Linked DNA regions of Rhinolophus ferrumequinum. The protein of the gene in region 1 purifies or fractionates together with the protein of each later gene. This does not show direct contact. Links are inferred from orthologs where the notes say so. Each region holds a gene or a part of one and is shown in the gene's direction. Other genes may lie near its edges.

Region 1 (9,723 bases):
CACTATCATTCTCTCCAACACTACTCCTGTCATAATTCTTAGTGATTTCAATATTCACACAGAAGATTTTTAAAACCCTGGTGTTGTAGTAAGGTTTCTCCTGAAAGTAGACCCTGAAACAAGGACTTCGGTTACAAATGGTTTATTTGGGAGATAACCCAGAAAGCAGGAACCAGGGAGCAAGAAGAATAAGATAAGGAGGAAAAGCCTCTGTAAAGGTGTGGCATTAAGGTCACTACCATGAATGAAAGAAACTTGAGTCCACTGAGACCTCTGCGAAGCATCCTGAGTGCCCCACAAAATTGTTTGCATGAGGACCAGAGGCTGACGCACTTATTCACTGGCTTCTGACCTGTTAGTTAAGGGTTGTTCTCAGGAGCTTTATCTTCCCCACACTTTGCTGTACTTTCCTGTGAACCTAGCAGGCTGCTGGGCCTTCAGAGAAGACCCTGAGGTGAAAGAAGAAAGGAGAGGTGCCCTTTTCGGGTGGGAAGCTGTCAGGGGAGTCTGAAATGTCCATCATAGCTGCTACTGAAATCAGAAGTAGATCAAGGGGATGTGACTAGGACACCATGAGAATGCCTGGCTTCTCAGTTCCCTGGCCTCGTCTGTCCCAGTGATCCTGTTCTCCACCCTACCTCACTACTGTCTCCCTGATCATAGCTTAGCCCTTGTCATTACCAATAACTGCAACCGATAACAGCCTAAGCTCAATGTCACCCTCCAGCCACCTGCTCCTATCTTCCCAACTTACTCCCTCTGGTATCTTCATTCCAACAACCCTTCGTCTCTCACCCATACAGTACTTTAATCCTACTATATTTTCAGTTTTTCACCCTCCAGATTCAATTTTAACCCCATGGTCAATCATCATACTCTTACACATATGCTCAACTCGCTGCAACATCCTCTGTCAACAAAACCCTAACCTGGATTGGAGCCTAGTGTGTATCAATTCAGTGCCTGCACTTGAGTGTCTGAATGTGGCTTTAGAACGAAACAGGTCCTGCTACTCAAGAGCAGTGAGACCTGAGGTGTCTTACTTAACCCTGCTGTCTTAGTTTCCTTAGCTATGCCAAGTAGTCGCAACTAAAATTCAGGGCCACTACTCTCAATTGGGTCCTTGGGACTGCCCAGGAATCAGAACGCATTTCCTCTATCTCTTCACTCTCCCTTCTATATTCTTTTCTCATTTCTTCTTAAACTTCAGAATATCTGTTGTTTAAGACATTTGCAAGAAAATGATTATGTAATATACTCGTATGTATAAATTGGACTGTGAGAGTTTCACTCTGGACCTGGTCCCATGGAAATCTTAGGATGGTTCTGTTCAGTTTCATAGTTGCTAGTGGGGTTTTCACTTCCTTGTCCAGGGCCCCATTTTCTAGAAGGGAGAGTGGAGCTTAGAAGTGTTTTGGACCATGGAGGGGGATGGTCATTCAACCAGAGCAGATTCATGGGCTGAGCGCAGACTTAAAGCACAGGTAACTGTCTTACAGGCAATATAGAGAAAGCTGCCTCCGAGATACCCTCTCTCAAGAAAGACAACTAACACACCTCTCAGCACAAGCAATGTGTGGCATTTCCTGGCACAGCAAAGAAGGATCTTCTGGCTTAGGAATAAGGATAGAAATTGATATAGGGATATGGTTAGATTCCGGTTAGGGTTAGGCTTAGGATTGGCTCCCATGGATCTTCCTGGATAGTCTTTTGAGACAGACTCTTTTTCTCCATGTGGTATACAGAGATCTGGGAGACCCCAACAATCATTCTCCTCCATCTCTTGGGGCTGTTTCTGTCCTCCCTCTTCCACTCCCAAATCTTGCAAACCCTTGGTGCCCCATCTAGTTTTTCACCAGTTCTCTAATCAATATACAGTGTATTGATTAAACTTTATATACTATCTTTACATGTAAAAAAGCTTTTTGTCTTTTGCTTTGCTTTTTACAAATCAAAAGCTTTGTTTTATAGCTGTTGTATTTAAAATAGACTTCCAGAGCCTATTGTGGAAGTAATAATCCCAAACATCGTGGACACAAGGGATGCATTAGGGCCTGCTGGTAATTGTTTGCATTTCTACAAGAAAGTGTGAAAAAAGTACGCACAAACATACTTTTCAGTAATTTATATCACACAGCTGAGTGAAAATAAAGATGTGTGGGAGTCTTGCCTTCAATTTGTAAAAATGCAACAAGTGTGAAGTGCAATAAAGTGAAGAGCAATAAAAAGAGGTATGCCTGTAGTGGGTACTCAAACAAGTATTAAATACTTAATTGGATTCTTTAAGTAGGGTCATTAATTAATTGATTTATTCAATTATTACATCATAGTGTCTTCGGACTTTTTTTAGGGTACATAAAACTGATTATAATTTAATCAAGAGTCTTACATTTTAAATTAAGCAGTAGAGTTGGACTACAGTTGAAGATAACCCAGTTTCACAGGAAAAGGGAACCATGATTATATAAAGTTTATTCTGGACTAGGCCTTTTTCTCTGACCCAGTTGAGTGACTTTGGCAGGATAACCTCTCTGAGCCTCATTTTTGTCCTCTGTAGAACAAAGGTGACCTCTATGGTAAGAGTCATCCCTGTGTTAACATTCTGCCAGAACACACAGGCATAGTGGCTCTGAATCCTTGTCCTACCATTTACTCATTGTTTAATAGTGTATTGCTCTCTACTAAGTCATTTGTAAAATGGAGACACCCAGATGGCATGAAAGTTATGTTGATTTAGTGAAGTATTACATAAGCTTTCCAAATTACAGTTCTGCTTCTATTCACTCCATAGCAGTGAGAGTTAAAATGGGAGTTTGATCATGCCATTCCTGTGTTCAAAAGCCTGCAATGATTCCCTATCTCACTCAGGTAAAAGCCAGTCTTTATGGGTGGTCTACAAGGCCCTATATAATCTTCTGATCGCCTTATTCTCTGCCCTGAACACACCAACCTTCTCACTATTTCTCGGATACTCTTGGCAACCTACTCTCTGTGCTTCCCCTCTCTGGGATACTCTTCTCCCACAAATGACCTGGCTTCTTCCTTACCTCTTTCAAGTCTTTGCTCAAATGCCATCTTCTCAGTGAGGACTACTTGAATCACTGTATTTAAAATTTCCAACTTCATCCTTCCCTTCCGTTTTATTTTACTACATAGCTCTTATTTACTTCCAACATATCATGAATGCTAGTAAAAATGTATAATACAATACCAGGTATATTGTAGGTTGCACATATAAATTATATTCTCTTCCTTTGGCCAGTCCCTTGTGATCTGAAGGGATAATGCTTGGGGGCTTATGGTTTAGGATCTTCTGGGACAACGCCTTCAGGAAATCCAAGGTTAACGTTCATTGCCCAAACAGTCTTTCATAGATTATTTTAGTGCGAGACACACTTGAATAGAAATATTAATAGTTAAGGCCCTTTCTGCCATGTAAGATCTCTGCAACTTAAAAGAGGGCCCTCACCCAACCATGCTGGCATTCTGATCTCCGACTTCCTGCCTCCAGAACAGAGAAATAAGTTTCTGTTGTCTATTAAAAAAATAGTTAATAGTCAACATTTCATTCATTCATGTATTCATTCATTCATGTATTCATCCAACACATATCTATGGGGCGGTTTCTATGGCCAGTTCTTATGGAAGACAGCTGTTACAAGCATTTCATTGGGGTAAGATACCTCCCTTAACACTCAAGTCGCGGGATTTGGGGCGGGGAATAAAGGGTCTGGCCTGGTCTCGCCAGCAGAGGGCGTGATCCCACCCTCTTTGCAGCCTCTCGGCCCACCAAGGCTTCCAGGCTCCCACGCTCGCTCCCGAGCGCGCCCCCGCCCGCCGCGTCACGTGATGCGGCGGTGGAACCTGAGCTGCCGGGCCTAAGCCGAGCTAAATTCGTTGCCGGTGGCCGCTGCGGGTGCAACCACAAAGGCTAATCCGAAGAAGTGGGGAGGGTCGTGGAGTCGATGCTTCCTCTTCCAATTCAGGTCGGCTCCCGTTACCTTCTCACCATTCACCGTCGCCGTCTCCCTGAGCGTTTGCATGAGCTCTTTCGTGTGGGGAAGCTCCGGTGACCATGTAGGGGGAAAGAGTGAGGAAGCCTGGGACGAAGTCAGCGCTGTCTGCACGCCGCCCGGCGCCCACCACACCCCCGGTGCGGGCCGGTGGGCCCGTCGGCCCTGGTGGGACAACTCCGGCCTCCGGTTGTGGCCTGGCCCGGGGCGCCACGAAATCTCGCTACGTCTCGCGAGAATCTAAGTTGAAGGAACATGGCGACGTCTCATCTGTTAAAGGTAAGACCCTCAGGCTAGCTTGGCTTTTACTTCGCGACCGCTGGGTTCAGCTCTTTGGGAAAGGTTCGGATCGGGTTTAGGGGCAAATTGTAGGAGTGTTCAGGGGTTGTCTACCGGAAGGGAGGCCGGGGAAGCTGCCGCCCAGGACCGGAACGCGGGTCCCTGGCCTTGGGGTCGAGAGGCTCTGGTTGTCCCTCGGGCCGGTTGACCGGTGTGTGAAAGGCCCAGCTGAGGGATGGCGGGTAGCGATGCTTTCAATGGACCAGCTCTGGCCTCGGACGGGAGATGAATGGTGGTGCTTTGCCGTGACCGATTGGGCAGTTAGTACTCTTAGGGTCTCGGTTTGTTCTGAAGCGAGAGTCTAAGACGTATAAAAGGAAAATCCAAGAAAATGCTGCCTGACATAGGGATCAATGACGACCCCCACCTCCTTAATTTCAGTTCTTATTCTCTCTGCACGGAATTCTAAGTCAGACGGCAAGCACTGCCATCCACTCCACTCCCGCCGTCCCTTTCTGCACGCTGTACTTTCCCTCCTACTCTCCCATTCTCGAGTTCATATTTTACCCTTTTTTCCTTAGGAAACTGCTCCTCAGCCCCACTACAGCACACAACCAGATGACTACGGTACTGAGGAAGTGCTGCCATCGCTTTAGGGCTTAGGAAAGTTACCTTATCAAAGAAAACGGTTAGTTAGTTTTATATATTTGGGATAGCAAGGGAGATCTAGAGTCAGGAGCAGATTCTCTACTATCAATTAAAACGTTTGGAGGAAAACGAGAAAAGGCACTAATCTGTTTATTCTGTGCTTGTGTTTATAGTAGGAACGTTTTGCCTTAAAAGTATTTACTGAATTGGTCTGATTAGCTCAGGGAACATATATACAAAGGATGAAGTACTCCCCTCGAACCCATCATTATACATTCAGGCCGTGAGGATGGATAGTGGAAAATAATTGAATAGAAAATATGTTAAAATATACCGGAACCTCACTCATGTCCTTTTTTAGACTACTGATGTTAACTGCCTGATAGATGGGACTGTCCTATAAAATGTAGAACTGTTTTAACTAACTTAAGAGGCAATAATATTATCTTCCTTTAAATGGGGGAGGGGCCTAGAACTAGACTGAATTTCAGCCACTTAGAAGCTGTGTGACTTCCGGCAAGTTTCTTAATCTCGGCCTAGGTTTCCTCATCAATGAAATGGAATTATTAATAGAACCTGTTTCATAGGAGCGTTTTGAAGATTGAGTTAATGTATATAAAATGGTTAAAACCGTGACTGGGACTTAATTAGTACACAATACACCTAAATTACTAGAATCACTACTCTTGTTTCTCTAAGAAAACTAAATAACGGAATTGAGTAACCCATCCTACTGGACTCGTCTTTTGTAACATTATTGCAAATTTTAATATATTAGTTCAGAAAGAAAACTTGTTTAACTTCTAAAGACTCCTATTAAAGCGTCTGCATGATTACATAAGCAATCGCTTATGCTATTAATTGAAATCATGAAAAAAATAATTGGGTTCCTGATTCTTTGAATTTTTGACTGGATTACATGCATATACAGCAGTCTTTCCCCACCCCCCAATTATCTCAGCAAAGAGCCTTTTACTTTATTCTACCCCATACAAAGCTTTGCAAAGGATTGTTGGGAGGAGATACAAGTCTGAAGTTATATCAGTCAACACTACTAAGTGGTTACTTTGTAGAGATTATGAATCTACATCTACAGCATACATCTATAGAATAAAAAAGCTGCTTGAATATATAGAAAATGGACACTTAGTGTTTAGGTTAAAAGGATAACAAGAATTCAGAAGTTCTGTAATTCAAACAACTTTTATAAATAAAAGGAAGGTGGCAGTGCTTTGAAAAAACTGGTAAATTCCTCAGTCATTCTAGTGAACGTGAAAACAGATGCCAAAGATGCACTGGGAAAATTTCAATAAAGTTGTTTTATGAAATGTTGAAAGGGGGAAAAAGAATTTTTAAATATTATTTTATATCCTATGTGATTTTAAATATGTACAACTAAGGGAATATAATGGACAATGTAAATACACGTTTAATTCTTTTATCTGTATCACCAAAAGTTTACATATTTAAATTGGCCGGAAATCTTTCCTTCTCTTCTTATTGGGGGGAAGGGGAATTGCCCTAAATTCTTATATCTAGAATTAACTAATTAAAAACTGGGAAGTTTGTCTTGGAGAAATGTAATGTGACCTTGCCAGGGTGGAGCCATAACATAAGTCAGAGGGTCATTTAAATTCAAGGCTAGTGCTGCGTTGAACAGAGACAGGGCTGGCTAGGAAGTGGCCACGTTAGCCTCATTTCCTTTCTTGACAGAATTCATAGACTGGTTCCTTAGAACACTGCCTGAGACATTGTGTAATTAGATTTCACCACAGCATATTTGACAGAATTATCATGTCCTATGACCAAAATGGAGGTATGTGGGCGAGGTGAGAATACAAGTAGAATTTGATTCATTATCAGTTAAACAACTGTACCTGAAGGGAGGCCTTTACCGTCCTGCTGAAAGATAATGTCCTCTACCTATTTACCAGTAACTTGGATTAGGTTAAGTTTATTGAATTTGTGGATGACAGAGTTCAGAGGAATGTGTTATGAAAGATAATAAGAAGCTAATATGAAAGCCAATATGTTATGAAAGATAACAAGATTCAAAACTTTGATGTGGAACTTATAAGTCAGAACCCAATGTAATAAAAACCACCTACTTTTTTTATTTTGGAATTTGTAATAATTGTATTCTCCATTTAAAGCAAGTGGACTATTGCTGGATTTGGGGAATCTTTTGGATATAAAAAGATTTGTGTTGTACATTTTGACAAATACAATTATCAGTTGCTTGGGTGGTTTAGATCTCCAAAAACTTTTTAGTATTACTACTTTAACTTTTTGTTTTACCATATAGTTCCACTTGTTTCTTTACTTTTGCAGTTATCTAGGCCCTCAGTGCTCATTTTCTTTATTTCCGATTGAATATTCTTTTCCAAATAACAATTGTTTAAATCTTATTTTTCTGAGCATTATCCCCGTTTAATTCTTAGCACATTATTTTTTCCAGCTGTTTGGGTGTCCTTAACTTCCTGGGTCAATACCACAAATTTTTCTAGTTTCCCCTTGTTCTCCTCTTTTCCAAGGCACCTGTTGTATTGCCTCCTTCCACTTGTTCTGCCTTCATGCACCACCAGGTCTCGGCAGCATGCCTCCTGTTATTTTTATTTGTCTCCTTTATTCTCACTTCTGTGGGGATAAACGTTCATGTAACTCCTCATATAAACTTGTGCTCTGCTTTGGCCTCAAACTTTTGCCCTTTTCTCTCTTTCTATTCATAATCACAGTTCTTAGAAAAGCAGAACCCACTTGCTGCCTTTATAATTCTTCACCTTTTTTAACTTACTGTGACTTTGTTCTCTCCCCCCACACACAGTTGTATTGAAGCTGTTAGTCTTAAGAGCTCTGGCAATTTCCTGATTGCCAAATGAGGTTATTCTCTGATACACTTATCCCTTCTGATATTGTTGATTACTACCTCTACTTCCCTTTTGGTTTATGACAGTCTCTCCTGGGTCTCATATCTCGCAAATCACCTGTATTTTTCATTGATCTCCCTTCTCTCCTTCCCAGTATAATTATTTCTCAGGATTTAATCTTCAGCCCTTTTCTTTGTACTTTTTTTTTTTCTGGGACAGTCTTCACTCCCATGATTTCACTATTTTTATCTCTTAGCTGTGATCTGAGCTCTAGACCAAAACAGTGCTAACCATATCACTTTCTTGCTGAGATACCTTTGATGGTTCAAATTCTTTGAGATCCTTCCAAGCTGGGTCTTCTCCCTAATAACACATTTATATTCATATTCCCTCCCCACACCGGACCTCTCTCTCTCTACCTGGCTGGTTATTTGTTGGTTCACTAGCATACCAGAGTCTTCAAGACTCTTTATATGTTTGCTATTTCTTCTGTCAGGAATGCCCCCTCCCCTGTTAAAATCTTATGTATTCATCAAGACCCAGCCCAGATGCCTCCTTGTTTCTGAGTGCTCTTATTTGGAATTAATTGTTGCCTACTCTGCATGCACAACCATAGCATTGCATCAGTCTCTTCTAGCACTTACCTTATGCCTTGTGTATTAGTTACAGGATCTGTTTACATATTTAACTCCTTTTCTGGATTGTAAGCCCCATTAGTGCCAGGATTTCATTAATCTGTTGATGCCGTAACTCTCTAGTGTGGTGACCACTCATGGTACGTGCTCCGGAAATGAGTGATGACTGGTTGGAAAGAAGTCTAGTGCAGTACCTGTGTACTGGAGATGCTCAGTGAGTGAGTGTTGATTGGTTAAAAGAAGGAATTTCTGGTTTTATTTATTTATTTTTAATTAGGTGTAGAGAGAGGGAGCAAGAAGGGGGGTAGAGGTTATAAAACCAATCCAGAAGAAAATCCACACTTTAAACTGAAATATGAAGCTCACTGCTTTCCTTGGTGGGAACATTTCTATCCTTTGAGAGGAAAGAAAATAGAAATACAAAGGAGTGATTTAGAGTGTGTGTAGAATTTATTCATTATTAAAATAGTTGTATTGGGCACATGTGCAAGGCATCGTGAATACAAAGCTGTGTAAAACAATGTCCAGCCTGTTTAGGAGTTTACCATAGACTGAAGGAGATTAAAAAGTACTGATGATTTGCTCTACGGCAAGAACTTCAGGAGTGTTACCACATCCTGTGTGGTCCCTCACAGACGAGGAGATCATTTCTGGTGGAATGATCAGGGAAAGGTTAATGGAGAAGGCATTGGAGCTGGATTTTGAAGAATGGGGAGACTTTTTGCAGTTGGAGATTAGCAGAAAATTTGTGAGGAATGGAGACTAGATGAGTATGGCTGAAGTGTGAGAAGGACTGCATGCTGTGTTACCTTGTGTATGAATGGTGCTCCTTGGAATTGTTGCAGCGTAGGAGCCCAGAATATGGGCAGCAGTAGGAGGAAAGTCAGGGTCAGATTGTAAAAGGTCTTCAGTGCTGAACAAAGAAGTTTGAAATAAAGTTCCATAGATGATGAATATTTGAAAAATATGTGAGCAGATATATTGTTAAGCCTTCAGTGTTTTCTTGGCTCACACATAAAACCTGTTATCATTACATCTATTTTGTGTGTATTCAAACTCTGATTTGTGAGGTGGCCACGAATGAAGGGCTTTTGTGTAATGTAACCGTCCGTGTTCATTGAAACCATAACAGGAGTCACCAAATCTGGAAAGTAAATTCATTCAACAAGTATTTAGCATTCTCTAATTCCAACTAGATAATGGTGATCTAGGCAAATTCCTGCCCTTAATGTAACTTACATTTTTGTCGGGGAGAGAAGCAATAAACATATATGCAAATAC
Region 2 (9,723 bases), on another chromosome or scaffold:
TGCCAAATACCTGAAAGATTTAATTTCTAAATAAAAGTGTTCTTATGGAGAGAAACCTGAAAATTACATGTGGCTAAATCTACTCGCATACATGGTAAGTTTTTATAACCCAGCAATTTTGCACATAAGTATGCACCCAATAAAATTGAGTGCCTACGTCCACCAAAAGACTTGTATAATACTATACATAGTAGCTTTCTCTATAATAGCTAAAAACTGGAAACAACTCAGAGCCCATCAACAGTAGAATAAATACATTGTGGTATATTCGTATAATAGAATACTGTAAAACAATGAAAATAATGAGCTACTATTTCATGCAACAACACAGATGACTCTCACAGACATAATGTTGAGAAAAATAAGCCAGACAAAAGAATAGATACTAAATGGTTTTATTTATATGAAATAGAAGAAAAGGCAAAGATAATCTATACTGACGGAGGTCAAATGGTAGTTACTTTTAGGGGTGTAGTGTTAGGAAAAGGGCAAGAAGGAGCTTTCTGGGATGCTGGAAATATATCTGATCTTGATGCTGGAAATGGTGGTCACACAACATATAAATACGTAAAAATTCATTGAGCAGTTTAAGATTAGTGTACTTTATATATGTTATATATCAATACAAAGTTTTAAAATTACTTGTAACATTATGGAATATTTGAGCTATTATCAACAAATGTTTGAGCAGTTCAAGATCGAGTGGCAACAATTGGTGAATACCATGCATGAAACAACCAGTTGCTGAGCAAGTGTGATCAACTTTTCAAGCTGAACTAGAGTCAGCCGTGGCATAGTCTCACTCTCTGTTCCCTAAGCCTTCATCCATTTGGTTATCACACAGATCCTGCACTAATACTCATCACAGGCCACTATCCACAGTCATGATGTCATTATTTTTGTTGTCACATTAGCAAGAATATCCAGGTTGTGTGGATGACAAGTGTTCAGGTTCACATCTTTCTTTTTAATATGCTTTCTCCTTTTTTTAAAAATTAAAATAGTATAAAATTTTACCCTGCATCTCACTGTACATATACTGTATGTATACTGCCACATATTGTATTTTACTCAAAACTAACATATGTTGTACCTAAATGATGGAGTAAGGGATTTTCAAGGGTAATTTTGACTATGAGAATAATTGTCACCTCACCTCTCCCAACTTTCTATCCCCCCAAAATGTGAAGCTTGTAGCACAGTGCCCAACACACAGAAAGTGCCAGTTTAGCCCCTTCAGCCTGGATTCCCATCTCCCACTACCCACATGTGTTGTCTCACCAAAGTAGCCAATGACCAAAAAAATTTTGTACGTAATCAAACCTGAATTTTCTGCTGCACAGTATCCTCCTTGACCCTCTTCTCACTCTACATACTGTCTCCAAGTCACTTCATTGATTCTCATATTTCAACTCTTGAATAAAGGCTGACTCACCTCCCAAATTTATATCTCTAGCCCAAGGCCTCTCCCTCTCCAGACCTGCCATTTTCAAGTGTGTTCAAATGGTTCCATATAGTTGTTGCTCAGCTACCTCAAAAACATGTCCTCAACTGAACTCACCATCTCTCTCCCACCCTCCTACTCCTACTCCCAATTGCTACTCTTCCTGTCATCTCCATCTTCATTAGTGGCACCAACTTCCAACAGACTTCCAGACTGGAAACCTCCCTTTCTTTCCTTTCTCTGGCCTCAGCGTCTAATCTGTCACCAAACTTTGCAATTCCATCAGTGTTTCTTGAATTCTTTTCATCCTTATTTCTACTGCCCTATTTCAGGTTCTTGACACTTGTCACCTGAGCTGCTAGAACCAGCCTTGATTTTTAATGTCCTATTACTCTCAAAGCCTCCTCAACATTGCTGTCAGGGTGGTTTTTCTAAAATAAGTATCTGGCCATGTTCCTCTCCTGCTTCTCCCCATTCCTGGCCTGTCCAGAGGCTAACACTTGTGTTCTTTAACTTGGCCTACAAGGCTTTCATGATCTGGCTCTGACTTCTCTAGGCTTGTCCCTGCTTCCTTTCTTGCTGCAGCAACCCTGAATGAAGACTTCAAACTTCCCCAGATCCAACTACCACTCCTGGCTTTTTTTCAAGCCAGCTCTGTCTGGAATACGTTCTACATGCAGCAACTCTAACCTCACCCCATCCTGCAAAAACACCTCTCAGGCCAATTACTAGGCATTCTTTAAGATTCAACCCAGTGTCATCTCCTCCAGGACACTTTCCTAGTTAGGAGTCCCATCCTTTTTACTCCCATATACTTTTTTTTTTTTTTAACAGGACTTTATTGGGGGAACAGTGTGTACTTCCAGGACTTTTTTTTTCCAAGTCAAATTGTTGTCCTTTCAGTCTTAGTTGTGGAGGGTGCTGTTCAGCTTCAAGTTGTTGTCCTTTTAGTCTTAGTTGTGGAGGGCGCAGCTCAGTTCCAGGTCCAGTTGCCGTTGCTAGTTGCAGGGGGCACAGCCCACCATCCCTTGTGGGAGTCGAGGAATTGAACTGGCAACCTTGTGGTTGAGAGCCCACTGGCCCATGTGGGAATCGAACCGGAAGCCTTCGGAGTTAGGAGCATGGAGCTCTAACCGCCTGAGCCACCGGGCCGGCCCCCGATATATTTTCTTTATATCTCCATAATTTCATCTACTACTTGATAAACTGTTTTTATAAATGTCCCTGTAACCTCCTTGAGGATTCACTGCTTAAACTTCAGTGCTTAGCACAAATGATTACATTTGAACCAGAAGCTGTGCTTTAGAAAAAACTTACTGAATCTTCATGACACTGTATGCAGTAGATACCAACAGCATTTCCGTTTTACAGAGGAAGAAAGAGCACCAGGGACGTTAAGAAATTTGCCCAAGGTCATGTGCATGCTGGCCTTCAGGTATTCACATCCAGTCAGCCCGGATACACAGTAGGCATCCTTCACCATTATATTATATTGCCTCTTTATAGAGTGGGCACTTACTAAACATTAAATAAACATAATAGCTATGCTTAGTGAGTGCGTACACATTTAGTGCTTTACCTGGATTATTTCAACTCCATTACAACCCTATGAGTAAGTACCACCATTATTCCCATTTTACACAAGAGAAAACAGGTTTAGAGAAGTTTGGCAACCTCTCCAAGGTCACACAGCTAATTAGTGGCATAGCTTCCCCCACAACCAAGGTTTAACCACTACACTCTCCCAAATGAGACCAACAGCTCAGGAATGGATTGACATCCAGGATGAAGACTAGAACAGCATGGCGACCTATGACACCTACCGCTCAGAACCGAAACACAAGTGTTCGGACCTCAGACTTAGAACCGGGTGACTCAAAACTGGGTCAGAAAGAAATCTGCCCAGAAACAATGATCCAGAATCATAGGACCACGGAAATAGAGGTCAGCACAATGAAACACAATCCCCCCCCCCCCCTTTGACCCTATGCCCCTCATCTTTAGGGGATCGGGAGTTGATTGCCCAGCTGCTCAAAGGTTTTGCCTGTGGAGAACAGACCTCCAAGAATCCTAAAGTGATGTAAGAGAAGGGTTAACCGCCCGCGAGAGCCTCCCAGAGGGGGCGTGGCCTCGGGGCGGAGCGCGACCTGCGGCGGCAACTAGAGGGCCCCCGTGGGGCGGGGCCTCGGGCCTGGGTGAGACCTGGGGGCGGCGCTGTACACGGAAGCGGCCGGCGTTCTGCGCCTGGCGTTCTGCGCCCGGTGCGCGTAGCGACTTTCGGCCGGGCTCCTCTTGAGGCCCGGCGACCTCCGGGCCTGGGGAGCCAAGCGAGGTTCGGGAGCGGTGAGGCGGGCAGGGGGAGGGCGAGGGGATGGCTCCTAGAGAGGCTCGAAGGGGACGAACTCGCGAGAATCTCGGGAGACGGGGACAGATGGGTGAGGGCAAGGTGATGGGCCGAGGAGCTTTGGGGGAACGAAGAGGGAGGAGCGGGGCAGTGGGCAAACGCGTGGTGAAAGGATGAGGCGCCAGGGTGAGGAGCCCCCTCCGCCAGGATCGTGCACTTCACACCCTCTTCTCTCCCAATTCCTCTCCAGGTCAATACCGAACAGGAACTCAACTTGCAGAAGGGAGACGAGACGCCCCAGCAAGACTCTTTCGGGGAGTCCCCCAGCTCCTCACCTCCATGGGCCAGACGGCCCTGGCAGGGGGCAACAACGGCACCCTTACCTCACAGGCCCTGTGCCCCGACCTCTCTTGTCCGGAAGGCTTGGAGGAGCTGCTATCTGCTCCCCCTCCTGACCTGGGGACCCAACGGCGCCACGGGTGGAACCCCAAGGACTGCTCAGAAAACATCGAGGTCAAGGAAGAGGGGTTGTGCTTTGAGCGGCGGCCCGTGGCCCAGAGCACTGATGGGGCCCGGGGTAAGAGGGGCTACTCGAGGGGCCTGCACGCCTGGGAGATCAGCTGGCCCCAGGAGCAGAGGGGCACCCACGCTGTGGTGGGCGTGGCCACGGCCCTCGCCCCACTGCAGGCTGACCACTACGCGGCGCTGCTGGGCAGCAACAGCGAGTCATGGGGCTGGGACATTGGGCGGGGGAAGCTGTACCATCAGTGCAAGGGGCCCGGTGCCCCTCAATATCCAGCCGGACCTCAGGGTGAACAGCTGGAAGTGCCGGAGAGGCTGCTGGTGGTTCTGGACATGGAGGAGGGAACTCTGGGCTACGCTATTGGGGGAACCTACCTGGGGCCAGCCTTCCGGGGACTGAAGGGCAGGACCCTCTATCCAGCAGTAAGCGCTGTCTGGGGCCAGTGCCAGGTCCGCATCAGCTACCTGGGTGAAAGGAGAGGTGAGGCCTGGGGCAGGTGTGGGAAGTGTTCTGTTACTGGTGGCTGTGGTTTGGGTTGGAAGCTCAACATCTTTGCAAGCGTAGAGGGAACGAGCCCTCATCTGACCGACCTTCTACCCCTATTCAGTGCCAGGAATGGCTAAGGGTCTTCACAGCTGTTACCTAATTTAATCCTCCCAACAGCAATAAAGGTAAAAAGTGGGTCTTGGGAAATCAACTTGCTAGTAAGTGGTGAGTCCTCAAGAGTGGAGGGAGGTACTCCTGGGATTAGGGCTTTAGAGGAGCTATGAGTCCCTGAAACAGAGGTGCAAAGGGTTAAATGGGTACTAGGCTAGGTGTACAAGTCCAAAAGAAAGAGAACTGGCAGTGCCAGCCACCCAGGGTGTGTACCAGCCACCCAGGGTGTGTACCAGATTTCCTGGGCTCTGACCTGTGACACATACTTACTTCCTCAGAGGTAGACTTCCCAGGAAGGAGACATTAAGGCCCGGTGCCGGTGGCCAGAGGAGAGCAGTGGAGGCAAGGTTTGGGTGGTGCTGCAGGGGCGGGGTTTTCTTGGGGAAATTAATGCAGCCAAGGCTTGGAGCTGATTGAAGTTACCTGTTCTCCGAAGTTGTAATCTTCAGCAGAGGCTGGATGCTTCTCCCATCACCCATGATGAGCTGTTACAGAATGGAGGGCCATCCTTTCAGCTTATCAGCCCCAGCCCCAAGGCCTGTCTGGAATCAAAGCCTGGGCCAGCTCTACCCGTCAGAGCCACCTTGGACAGTTGCTTAGAGGGCCTTAGCTAGAGCATCACCCCCAGCTCTGCCTGGGGATGTGATGCCTCCCACCCCAAGAGCAGATGCAGAACTTCAGGGGGCCTTAGATCTCCCTCTCAACCAAGCAGACTTGGCACAGGAAAGCAGAAGGGAACCCTGTAGTCTGAGGATGTCTGGCTGGTGGCTGCACCCCTACTTACCTTCCCCTCCTTCTCTCTCCCAGCGGAGCCACACTCCCTTCTGCACCTGAGCCGCGTGTGCGTGCGCCAAGCACTGGGGGCTACTCGGCTGGGCCAGGTATCTGCTCTGCCCTTGCCCCCTGCCATGAAGCGCTATCTGCTCTACCAGTGACCCTGTGATACCACAGATGCATGGGGCCTTGATGCCACCCCTCCCAGGGGCCAGGGAGGAGGCACGGCTGGCCTAGACCAGCTACTTAAAGCCAGTGAGGCTGGGCCCCTATCCCAACCCAAGCTACCCAGAGGGTGGAGGGAGCTGTTTATTTAAGACTGTGGTGGCCTGGTACACAGACTTTTTTTCAAGTAAAAACAGTAAGAGATGTGCTACCGTAAAAACCTGTTCGTGGTATTTTTTTTGCACGAGTCCTGTGGCCGTCTCAAAAAAGGAAAGAGATGGTGTGGAGAAAAGTACAGGAGTAAAGGACGAATCACAAGGCTTAGTGCCAGGTGTTTATTTCCCCTCTCCCCAGGTGGGACTGATCACATACACAACACACACAGGCATTGGCACTAGGGGCAAGGACAACACCCCTGGCCTCTGAGGGGTCGACAGGGCTCTAAGCTGTTGTCCCCATGGTGCGAGATGGGAGAGAAGGGTGGCTTCTCCTGCCTTTACCGGGGACTAAGGGGACCCACAAACAAACTCCACCCCTTCTACCTCTCAGTCAAGGAGAAGCCACCTTGGTGACATGTTTTATTCCAACCATTACAATAAGTGAAGGGATTGGCCTGGTCCCAACCATTATGGGATAAGGTGTAAACGGTAAAGGAAGAGGTATAATTTGGATTAGGCCACAAGAGGGGGTAGATGACACCATCAGAAGCATGTGTGGGAAGCGGGGTACAGTTACGGGGCTTCTGAGCTACGTAGTCCCTGGCATAGCAGGAAGGGTAGCAGAGATGGATGGGGCTTATTATTTGGCATTGATGATGTCCACAAATTCAGGCTTGAGGGATGCACCACCCACGAGGAAGCCATCCACATCAGGCTGGCTTGCCAGCTCCTTGCAGGTTGCCCCGGTCACAGAACCTAGAAAGGGAAAAGAAAGGGGGAATGGTCAGGGATGGGATGGGCATACTCCATCCCCACCTCCATGTCTGAGGGATCAGTCTAGTTCTCTGTCTACCCCACGTCAGGCTAGAGCCAAACCTACTCACCTCCATAAATGATGCGGGTGCTCTGAGCCACTGCATCAGAGACGTTGGACTTAAGCCATCCCCGGAGCTTTTCGTGTACCTCCTGGGCCTAGAACAAGAAGCCAGACTAAATAAGACTCTTTCAGCCTTTCCCTCAAAGGGGAAAAATCCCTGGGCACCCGTAGAGAGGCAGTGTGGTTTCAGGGAATCCCAGAAATCCTGGGATCCAAGCCGTAACACCAGGGCTCCGATCACCCCCCAGGCCCTAGAATGGACGTCGTTGGACAAATCACTCTCCTTTTCTGGGCTTGGGGGCTCCTGTCTTTAAAATGAGGGGCTGGCCCAGATGGTCTCTGTGGTTGCCAGTTCTGCTGAGGCAGGGTAGGAATAAGGGGGGGCCCCTGGGATTTGTTACCTGTTGGGGTGTTGCAGTCTTGCCAGTACCAATGGCCCACACGGGCTCATAGGCCAGAACCACCTTGTTCCAGTCCTTCACGTTATCTGTGGGACAGAGATCACAGAGGGAAGAAGGGTGAACAGGAAGGAGCTATTTGGCCAGGTAGATAGATACCCATGGACTAAAGAACAAGGATGGCCTTCTGCCCCCTGGTGGCTGTTGAAGGAACTCCAAGAGGCATCAAAGCCATGGAGCAGGAGCATAGGTGATAGGGAAGGGTTCCCACCTTCCCCTTTCTGTTCCAGTATCAGCAAGGGAATCAGTCAGGCTGCAGGGCATCTGACCTCACCCTCTGTGCCTCCGTGGCCCTGGCTAGGCTTATAGATCCCTTTCTCCAGAGATACCTGCGATGACCTTGGTTTGCTCGAAAACGACCTTCTCAGTGATGCCAGCTTCTCTCTCATCTAGCTTCTCCCCAATGCAGGCGATCACTCCAAGTCCCTCAGCCAGGGCATGGGCCACTTTCTGCCCAATCAGCTGTTGAGGAACAGACTTGGTGAGACACCACTCTTGGAATACGGCATCTCTTACCTCCTCTCCAGGTTACTAACCTCATCTGACTCCCCAAAGACGTGCCTTCTCTCCGAGTGCCCCAGCACTACCCACGTGGCTCCACAGTCTTTGATCATGCCAGGGCTAAAGAAAGAGATGGAAGCCACAATTCCACAGGGAGCCCACCTGTGGCTTTCCACTCAATGAGGAAGGTGAGGGCAGGGTTCCCACACCCCGGGCCTCACCTACATCTCACCTGATCTCCCCAGTAAAGGCCCCATTAGTCACTTTGTAGCAGTTCTGTGCAGCCACAGCAATCTTGGGATCTAGCTTCTGCCGGGCGAAGTCAATGTAGGCAGTGGGGGGTGCACAAACAACCTCTGAGGGTGAGATCACAAGGAAGTCGTCATTCTCCAAACTCCATCCAGTGCTCTGGAGCCCCCTAGCCTTCACCAGCTTTCTTAGTTCTACTTTCCTTCTCTTTTCACGCCAGCAAGAGGATTTTTGTCCATACTGAGCCCAGACTGGGCCTGTTCCCAAGTCCTAGACCCTTGCAAGTGCCCCTGGGAGGCCATGGCCCTCACCCTGCCCTCTGCTCTTTTCAAAGCTGTGGCTCCGATTTCCCTGGGCTATTCTGGGTCTGGGTACCTCCTAGACTCAGCATTCTCTGGGGGCCAACCCCGCCTCCCCCTAAAATAGCCCATCCCCACCTCCCTCAGGCAAGGCAAGGATTTTTAGCAAAAGCAGAAGGGGCCAACCCCTGGGGTTTATACTGGGGTCTCTAGGGAATAAAAAAGGATGCCTTTTTGATCCAGTCCGTGGTTCTGTGATTTAGGTGGATGGAAGGACTGAGGACAGCACCAGCTTACAGAGGCCCTGCACTTTCCCGGTTCCAGGTTGGAAGGAGTAGGATGACTCATTCCCAACAGCTCAGCCCCTTTCTACGGAAGGCAGGAGTCCTCCAGGCTGCCCCGGGGAAAGGATTAGAGCTGGGCGCTCCTGAGGCCAAAGCAGCGTGGCGGGGGGCACTCCACCGGCTGGCAAAGCGCGGGGAGGAGTCTCGGCCTACGTGCGGCAGCGCGCGGAGCCGGGCCCAGGGGTAGGTAGCTGGTCGCCCGCACGCCCACTCAGCCGCCTCCCCCACGATACACACACACTTGGAGGCTGTTGCCAGCCTCTCCCGTAGCCGGCTGGGGCTAGCCTTCGCTTCCACCCCGGACTCCTCGTGGTGCAGCCCAGTCCGTGCCCCGGGGCCATCTTCCTCCCGAAGACCCAAAAAGTCCTTTCCCGCTCCACTCTCCGAAGGCACCAGAAAATGTGGCCCTGCTTTTCCCCCTCGACACACGCCAGGTACGCGGCTGCAGGGCCACGGCGCTGCTGGGTCAATGTCCAGATCCCCAGCAGCCCTCGTCCCCAGCCCTGCATCCAGGTCTACGAGGACATCAGGTGGCCCGGGAGAGGGCGCTGCCACGCCCGCCCTCCCCCACCAGCCAGATCCCTCCCCGACAAGGCTTACCGGTGTCGGCTGGCAACTTGGCGGCGTTCAGAGTGCTGATGAGTTCCCCCAGACTCGTCTTTCGCCCATTCATCTTCCAGTTCCCCCCCACGAAAAACTTCCTGGAGGGCGCCATGGCGCTGGAGCCGCTACCCTGAAGGTCAGTATCACCGCGCAGCCGCGGCCACTGCCCGCTTATATAGAGTGCGGTGAGGTAGAACTCCGCCTCCTCCCCGTCCTTTGCCATGGTTAGCCCGGCCCCTGCCGGCAAGTCCTTCCCCCCGGCCCGCCCGCCGCTCAAGTGGCAGCGTTCTGTTGTTACCCTTTCTTGTAGCAACGTTCTAGGGGCGT

The links. Proteins that work in one complex are often made in the same cells at the same time.
Region 2: the proteins of CUL5 (region 1) and SPSB2 purify together in Homo sapiens (affinity purification with mass spectrometry; 4 studies listed by BioGRID and IntAct, counting the BioPlex papers as one, with this or other methods). This does not show direct contact. The link is inferred for Rhinolophus ferrumequinum from reciprocal best matches to the Homo sapiens genes CUL5 and SPSB2.

The regions. Positions count from the first base shown.
Region 1 is NC_046294.1:76,757,024-76,766,746, forward strand, and holds the start of CUL5 (cullin-5), read left to right. Parts: upstream 1-3,655; 5' UTR 3,656-4,268; coding exon 4,269-4,292; intron 4,293-4,873; exon of another isoform or gene 4,874-4,980; intron 4,981-9,723. UniProt on the Homo sapiens protein: Core component of multiple cullin-5-RING E3 ubiquitin-protein ligase complexes (ECS complexes, also named CRL5 complexes), which mediate the ubiquitination and subsequent proteasomal degradation of target proteins.
Region 2 is NC_046293.1:24,046,020-24,055,742, reverse strand, and holds SPSB2 (SPRY domain-containing SOCS box protein 2), read left to right. Parts: upstream 1-3,637; 5' UTR 3,638-3,787; intron 3,788-4,038; 5' UTR 4,039-4,127; coding exon 4,128-4,934; 3' UTR 4,935-5,775; coding exon of another isoform or gene 5,776-5,903; 3' UTR 5,904-6,127; downstream 6,128-9,723. Other genes in the region: TPI1 (triosephosphate isomerase), read right to left, coding at 6,706-6,821, 6,950-7,037, 7,344-7,429, 7,730-7,862, 7,937-8,021, 8,134-8,257, 9,394-9,619. UniProt on the Homo sapiens protein: Substrate recognition component of a SCF-like ECS (Elongin BC-CUL2/5-SOCS-box protein) E3 ubiquitin-protein ligase complex which mediates the ubiquitination and subsequent proteasomal degradation of target proteins.